2 linked regions of the Macaca fascicularis genome follow. The protein of the gene in region 2 binds, or shares a complex with, the protein of the main gene of each other region. Links are inferred from orthologs where the notes say so. Each region holds a gene or a part of one and is shown on either strand. Other genes may lie near its edges. The genes, in order: POLR3K and POLR3F.

Region 1 (4,588 bases), on a different chromosome or scaffold from region 2:
GGGGGAAAGAGGTGCTAAAAAACAGGCAAGAGAATAAACTCACATGAGGATCCATCCCCAGGGGTGGGTGGGGTCCTGTCAGTTCACCCTGAGTATCCCTGATCATCAGGACCCAGGCCAGGGCCCAGGACTGAGTAAGGCAGGTGTACACAAAAAACGGTAATAACAAATATTTTAATACAACATTTAAGAAATACAAGGCAATTAAAATATCCATGATGAGCAAAATATAAAACATTTAAAACTGGCCGGGTGCGGTGGTCCACGCCTGTAATCCCAGCACTTGGGAGGCCGAGGCCAGCGGATCACTAGATCAGGAGATTGAGACCATCCTGGCCAACATGGTGAAACCCCGTCTCCACTAAAATACAAAAAATTAGCCGGGCGTTGTGCCGTGTTCCTGTAGTGAACCTGGGAGTGGGAGGTTGCAGTGAGCCAAGATCGCACCACTACACTCCAGCCTGGCGACAAATCAAGACTCAGTCTCAAATAAATAAAAAGTATCGTGCCAAAGCATATTGACGCTTGAGGCAAATGGAACTAAGTTTTTTCGTTTATCGTAGGGTTTTTTTTTTTTTTTTTTTTTTTTTTGCATCACCTTTGACTTTTAAAGCTATTACAGGCCGAGTGGGTGGCTCACACCTATAATCCCAGCTTTTTGGGAGGCTGAGGTAGGAGAATCGCCTGAGCCCAGGAGTTTGACACCAGCCTGGGCAACATAGTGGGACTCCCTCTGTACAAAAAATTTAAAAATTAGCCGGGTGTGGTGGCGCGCATCTGTGGTCCCAATTACTCCGGAGGCTGAGGTGGGAGGATGGCTTGAGCTCAGGAGGTGCAGGCTGCAGTGAGCCAAGATCGCTCCACTGCACTCCAGCCTGGGCGACAGAGCAAGACCCTGTCCCCCCAGCCCCCTAAATACAATTACATTAAAATTTCATTTAATGTCACTCACTAATGAGGGTTTTGGTTCCTCTTTAAACTTCGCGCCGCAGGCGAGTGTGCCTGGCCAAGGTAAAGACCCTTGTTTACGCCCAGAGGCGCCTTCCTCAGCCTTGGGCCGCAGCCTCCCACCAGCACCTTCAGAGGCTGCGCGCGCCCGGACGCCCGGCCCCCGGGGAACGACTCCCGCCCCCCTGGCCCCCGCCAGCACACACCTGGATCGGCAGATCGCAGAGCAGCGGGTCCTGCACCACCATAGCCAGACCCTCCTGGAACACGTCCATGGCCTCGGAGTGCGGCAGCGCCTCTTCTTCGTCCTCATCTTCCTCTTGCGCCTCGGACCCACCCGCGGCCTCCATCTCCTCCAGGGCAGCACCTCTCAGCCGGTCTCTGCCGGCACTTCCAGTACGCACTAGGGAGGCCAAGCGCGCACGCGCAGGAACTGCGGCCGGTCCCAGCGAGGCCGCCCAGCCATTGGTGCGCCGAGGGGTGGGGCGGCTGCAGTGACCAATGACAAGTGCGAGACAGCCAGCAGCAGGGCTGGGAGCGCAGAATCGCCCTGTCTATTGGTTGGTGGGCGGGGCGAGGCGGCCGCCAGGACCAATGTAAGCTCGAGGCGGGCCGCGCGTCGGCGCTGAGCGGCAGTGTGAGCTGCCGGTGGTTGGCGCCTGCGGAGTTCGAGACCATGCTGCTATTCTGCCCCGGCTGCGGGAACGGGCTGATCGTGGAGGAGGGACAACGCTGCCACCGCTTCGCCTGCAACACGTGCCCCTACGTGCACAACATCACCCGCAAGGTGGGACCCGAAGGCCGGCGCTGGGCCGCGGGCGCCTCTCGCAGGCCTTCCCCTTCCTCCGACTGCGGCGCCATCGCCGCCAGCCCCGGCGTCTGCCTCTGTCCGCTCTTTCTCGCTCCCCCTTCCGGTCTGCAGCAGATCTGTGGGCTCTTTCTGTGGGCTCCAGCACACTCAGAAAGCCCCACCGTTTCCCGCCTCCTTGGGTTCCTGCTCCCACGCTTGCGCCCTCCTCTGCGTTCACAGCAGCGGCCACGGCGATTCCCTTAAAGCTGAGGCACGTAGGTCCGTGCTGTGCGCAGAAACCTTCGGCCGTTCCCCAGCTCGTGCAGACGAAAAGCTGGAATTCTTCCAGGGCCTACCATGTTCAGACACTGACCCCCTCCCCGACTTGCTTCTCCGATTTCAAGTCCTATTGCCCTTTGCCCCATCAACACCAGCCTCCTGGACGATCTCTCATTGTGCACATGGCGCTCGCAGGGCCTTTGCACTTACTGTTACTAACTTCGCTCTTCCCCTAGATAGCCACCTTACTCATTGGTCTTGTCTTTACCGTATTTTAAATTGCAGCCCCTCCGTCCAATGTATCCTCCTTCCCTTTGTAATTGTTTCCACAGGGCTTGTTACCTTCGAATACATTACGTAATGTATCGTGTGCTTTGTTTATTAATAGTAGGACCTGGCCGGGCGCCGTGGCTCACGCCTCTAATCCCAGCACTTTCGGAGGCCAAGGCGGGTGTATCACTTGAGGTTAGGAGTTCGAGACCAGCCTGACTGACATGATGAAACCCCATCTCTACTAAAAATACAAAAATTAGCCGGGCATGGTGGCAGGCGCCTGTAATCCCAGCTATTCGGGAGACCGAGGCAGGAGAATGGCTTGAACTTGGGCGGCGGAGGTTTCAGTGAGCCAAGATCGCGCCACTGCACTCCAGCCTGGGCAACAAGAGTGAAACTCCGTTTCAAAAAAAAGAAAAAAAAAGTAGGACCTAAGGTCTAGGAGGGCAGAGGTTTTCCGTTTTGTTCCCTTCTATGTTATATTCTGAACAACTAAAATGAAACCTAGAATATAGTAGGTGTTCAGTAAGCAGATGATGCATGCTTTATTATAACTTGTTGTTTTCCTTTGATAATACATATTTTCTTTTTACTTTTTAGAATACTTTTACTTTTTTTTTTTTTTTTGAGACGGAGTCTCCCTCTGTCGCCCAGGCTGGAGTGCAGTGGCGCCATCTCGGTTCACTGCAAGCTTCGCCTCCCGTGTTCACGCCATTCTCCTGCCTCAGCCTCCCTAGTAGCTGGGACTATAGGCGCCCACCACCACGCCCGGCTAATTTTTAATATTTTTAGTAGAGACAGGGTTTCACCGTGTTAGCCAGGATGGTCTCAATCTCCTGACCTTGTGATCCGCCCGCCTCGGCCTCCCAAAGTGCTGGGATTACAGGTGTGAGCCACCACGCCTGGCCAATTTTTTTGTGTTTTTAGTGGACAGGCTTTCCCCGTGTATTAGCCAGGATGGTCTCGATCTCCTGACCTTGTGATCCGCCTGCCTTGGCCTCCCAAAGTGCTGGGATTACAGGCGTGAGCCACCGTGCCCAGCTTTTTTTTTTTTTTTTTGAGACACAGTCTGGCTTTGCTTCCCAGGCTGGAGTGCAATGGTGCAATCTCGGCTCACTGCCACCTCTGCCTCCCGGGTTCAAACAATTCTTCTGCCTTAGCTTCCTGAGTAGCTGGGATTACAGGCTCCTGCCACCACCCCCCAGCTAATTTTTGTATTTTTGGTAAAGACGGGGTTTCACCACGGTGACCAGGCTGGTCTCGAACTCCTGACCTCAGGTGATCCACTTGCCTTGGTCTCCCAAAGTGCTGGGATTACAGGCATGAGCCACGACGTCTGGCCAGAATACCTTTATTTTTAGAAGTTAGAATATGTTGGTGCTACCGCCGGGCGCGGTGGCTCACGCCTGTAATCCCAGCACTTTGGGAGGCCGAGGCGGGCGGATCACAAGGTCAGGAGATCGAGACCACGGTGAAACCCCGTCTCTACTAAAAATACAAAAAATTAGCCGGGCGCGGTGGCGGGCGCCTGTAGTCCCAGCTACTCAGGAGGCTGAGGCAGGAGAATGGCGTAAACCCAGGAGGCGGAGCTTGCAGTGAGCCGAGATCGCGCCACTGCACTCCAGCCTGGGCGACAGAGCGAGACTCCGTCTCAAAAAACAAAACAAAACAAAACAAAAAAAAGAATATGTTGGTGCTACCTCAGTCTTAATGTTTGCATGCTACTACATTTTGTACTGTGTTGTGGGAGTTTGGAGTTGGAAACTGTGGGAAGAGTGAACTCTTATATAATCCTGAAATTCGAGGTTTGGCAGCCCAGGTTTGTGCTATGCAGTTACCTGGAGTCTGAAGTGTTGTTTTTGTTAGGTAACAAATCGGAAGTACCCAAAACTGAAAGAAGTGGATGATGTGCTTGGTGGAGCAGCTGCCTGGGAGAATGTTGACTCTACTGCAGGTAAGAGGGAACACTGTTTCTGTTGCTAAACTGGATAATTATGAGGCTGTTGATGCCACTGCATGGCAGAGTCTGTGATGTCATATAAATGATGTAGGTTTCTAAAAATAGAAATGGTTTTTGAATAATTTATTAGTATTTGTTACTGTTTAGTAATCTGTTACACAAGCAATATTTGTACAAGCCTTGGAGTCATACAGGCCCATGTTAGATCCTCAGGCCCTTGTACTGTGGTAGGACCTTCCTTGGGTCTCTTGACTTCTCTGGGGCTAATCCATATTCGTAGATCGTGAGAGCATAAAGTGAGTTATACCGTGCTTGGTATATAAGAGGCAGTGAGCAGG
Region 2 (3,814 bases):
GGCTCCCAAAGTGTTGTTTTCTTATTGTTGAATGTTGGGAGTTCTTTGTATATTTGGGAGACAAGTGCTTTATCAAATATGTGATTTGCAAATATCTTTTAGTATGTAACTTGTCCTTTCATTCTCTTAGCAATGTCTTGCAAAGCCGAGGTTTTCAAAAAATTTTGATAAACTCCAACTTATCAACATTTTCTTTCATAGACTACTATTGGAGTTGTAGTCCAACAATTCATTAATAAAGCCAAGGTCATGTAGATTTTCTGTGTTTTCTTCTAAAAGTTTTATAGTTTTGCACTTTACACTTAGATCTAAGATTATTTTAACCCTTAAAAGGACACAGAAGTTAAGCAACGGATGAATGAACAAACGGTGATATACATCTGTACAATGGAATTTTAATTGGCAATAAGAAGGAATGAAGTACAATATGGATAAACCTTGAAAACATCACGCTAAGTCAAAGTAGTAATACATAAAAAACTACATATTCTATTATTCCATTCATAGGAACTGTCCAGAATAGGCAAATCTATAATAAAGACAGAAAATAAACTATTCGTTGTTAGAGACTGTGGAAAGAGAGGCTGGGAAATAAATACTAGTGGTCACATTTGGGGGTGACGAAAATGTTCTAAAATTAGGACAGCGGTGATAGTTGCACAACTCTAAGATTATAGTAAAAACCAGTGACTGTAAATCCAAAGATTTTACACTTTAAAAGGATGAATGAATTCTGTGGTATGAATGATGAATTATATTTCAGCAAAGCTGTTATTAAACATAAAGATGTAGAAGGAAGACTGGCAAAATGAGGCTAGGTGATGGATACACAGGGATTTATTATATGATTTTTTCTACCTTTATATATATTTGAAATTATCCATTAAACAATGTGGAAGGGAAATGTTATTCTAAATGAGAAGTGGTACAGCATAAATATTTGATAAATAAAATCACTAATAAGCATCAAATTCTTATAACTGATGTTACAGTTCTTATAATTCTTGTTTTATTCAAAAATAAAAACTTGAAGCAACATATGTAAGTGGATATTTGAGGAAAGGTCTACTCACTGCCACAGACTTAACAGCTTGGAAATTATAAAATTTGAATTATAGCTTTAATTCTTATGAAATGTGTATTGAAGCAAACTTTATTCTAGGGGAATCTCAGCTCCTCTGATGTCTAAATCAGTGAGATTAGGGGCAGATGTCCCTGAGGGAGCAAGCTCTGGAGCAGGAGTGGGACGGGATGAGGAGCAGGAAAAACACACGTGTACTAGAAGAGAAGCTCCACCAAGGCAGGAATCTTTCTACGACTTGTTCATTAATGTATCCCAAGCACTCAGAACAGTGTCTGGCACACAGAAAATACTCTTTGTTGAATGAGAAAGTTAGTATGTTGGGATAAAGTAAATTATCCTATATACCATAAAATCTAGGAAAAATGTTCACAGTTCCAAAGATTCTTCACTGAAGACAGTAAAGTAGTTTTAGATCTTTGGGTGGGTGAGACACCAAGAACCAACTGTGTAGGGACAAGTCTAAGCAGTATCTCCAAACCAATCCAACATGAGCTAAATTTTTAAGTCTTTTTGGACCAGCTGTTCTAAATCATGACATAACTTCAAGAATTCAAACTTGGAGCAACATATGTAAGTGGATATTTGAGGAAAGGACTACTCACTGCCACAGACTTAACAGCTTTGATAAGCTTTTTACTTTCCAAATTCTTCAGGATTTTGTTGATTTCTGTTAATGGCAAATTACTTTTATAGCGGATATCTCTGCTCCATATTCCTATGAGAAAGTAAAGTAAAATAAGTTGAGCTATGTTTTCATGGATTTTTAATTTTATTCCTCTAACTCATATCTCATTCCAAAGCTAGCAGTATAAAGCTAACGGTAAAAATGAAATGACTTAGAGGTAAGAACCTTGGCTAAAGTAGCAAAAGTATGCCAAACAATAAATAAGTCTAATGCTTTATAAGATTTATTATTATTATAATGATTTATAATTTCTAACCAGAAATTTCTTGGAATCCCAGTGTGGCACACTTTTAAAAATTTTATGGAAAGGGCCGGGCACAGTGGCTCATGCCTGTAATCCCAGCAATTAGGGAGGCCGAGGCAGGTGGATCACTTGAGCTCAGGAGTTTGAGACCAGCCTGGCCAACATGGTGAAACTCTGTCCCTATTAAAAATGCAAAAATAATTAGTGGGGCCTGGTGGCGTGCACCTGTACTCCTAGCTACTTGGGAGGCTGAGGCACGAGAATTGTTTGAACCCGGGAGGCGGAGGTTGCAGTGAGCCAAGGTCACGCCATTGCACTCCAGTCTGCGCAACAGAGCGAGACTCCGTCTCAAAAAACAAACAAACAAAAATTATGAAAAGGACATTTTTATAATGGAAGGAAGAATCATGGATGCAACAGAATTAACTTATATCATCCGTACCCTTAATTCTGTTTTCTGATATTTTCATTTTAGATTGTAAATGTGAAATACAAACTTAAATTTGGGTCAAGGTCAACTGCCATCCTCAAGTGGGACAAAAACACTCTTTAGATGAGTGTCTGCATGCACGTAATCCATTATTTATACAACATTGTATTTGTGAGATGGAAAAAGGAAGCCTAGGGTTCTTATAGCTGCTAAAAGCCCTGTGTGAGAAGCAATGATTTCTTTTTCAAAGAAGGAAATAAGTGTTATATATGGAAAGGGAATGTATGTAAACATTTTGCTTTATTTTCTTCCCAATGTAGTGGCATAATGAGACAGGAAGATTAAAAAAATATGCAGAATGGCCTTCTCATAGGACTATTTTTAAAAATGTTAATTTTAATAAATATAAGAATTAGTTATATAATTTCAGATTATATCTCAATTTTTCAAGCTACTATCAATGACTCAAATAGATCCTAAATTATTGTAATTGAGGATTGCAATCTAGATACAGTTCTTCAAGGGGGGTAGAAGAGGAACTATAGTGCAGAGGGACATCCATTAAGACACTGCTACACGACACCGGCTTTCCTTTTGGTCCTTGCAAAAACGAGAGGTGTCAGCATCCACAATTTATAGGTAAGATGAAGAAACTGAAGCTTACAAAGTTTAAGTAACTTGTCCATGGTCATATAGCTAGAAGGTACAGATTTTTTAAAAAAAAACTTAAATGTGATTTATTTTGAATAGATAATACATTCATGTGACTCAGAATTCAGAAGTCTTTTTCCATCCCTGGCCATAGCCCTCTAGTTCTTGTCTTTCAAGGCAACAATGGCCTTACTCTTGGGTGTCCTTCAGGCACATGCATGTTATATTTGTATGTTCTATTCCCTTCCTCAGCATACTCTGTTCACCGAGCTCTACCCTGGGAAGCTGAGATCTGGGTCCCTATATTAAGCTCCAAAGACAATGTTTTTTTCTGCTTCATCCTTCACATGCTTACCTTTATTTCCTGCATCCTCTATGATTTGATATACTAGTTTTTCTTGGTTATCTGACCCCTTCATTTTACTGCAGGGGAATAAAGTAAAATTAATAAGGTAAAGACTACAGGATAATCTAATAATCTATATCACTACTTAAAATTAACAGACAAGGTCACCACAGTGACATATTTACCAAAAGAAAGGCTTACCTTAAAAAGAATGAGACAGGCCGGGCGCGGTGGCTCAAGCCTGTAATCCCAGCACTTTGGGAGGCCGAGGCGGGCGGATCACAAGGTCAGGAGATCGAGACCACAGTGAAACCCCGTCTCTACTAAAAATACAAAAAATTAGCCGGGCGCGGTGGCGGGCGCCTGTAGTCCTA

Evidence for each region.
Region 1: POLR3F (region 2) and POLR3K share a complex: the UniProt entries of both Homo sapiens proteins name them as parts of the RNA polymerase III complex. The link is inferred for Macaca fascicularis from reciprocal best matches to the Homo sapiens genes POLR3F and POLR3K.

The regions. Positions count from the first base shown.
Region 1 is NC_088394.1:781,656-786,243, reverse strand, and holds the start of POLR3K (DNA-directed RNA polymerase III subunit RPC10), read left to right. Parts: upstream 1-1,572; 5' UTR 1,573-1,624; coding exon 1,625-1,735; intron 1,736-4,156; coding exon 4,157-4,244; intron 4,245-4,588. Other genes in the region: SNRNP25 (U11/U12 small nuclear ribonucleoprotein 25 kDa protein), read right to left, coding at 1,155-1,298. UniProt on the Homo sapiens protein: Core component of RNA polymerase III (Pol III) which synthesizes small non-coding RNAs using the four ribonucleoside triphosphates as substrates. Can mediate Pol I proofreading of the nascent RNA transcript.
Region 2 is NC_088384.1:68,810,824-68,814,637, forward strand, and holds part of POLR3F (DNA-directed RNA polymerase III subunit RPC6), read right to left. Parts: intron 3,518-3,814; coding exon 3,450-3,517; intron 1,800-3,449; coding exon 1,687-1,799; intron 1-1,686. UniProt on the Homo sapiens protein: DNA-dependent RNA polymerase catalyzes the transcription of DNA into RNA using the four ribonucleoside triphosphates as substrates.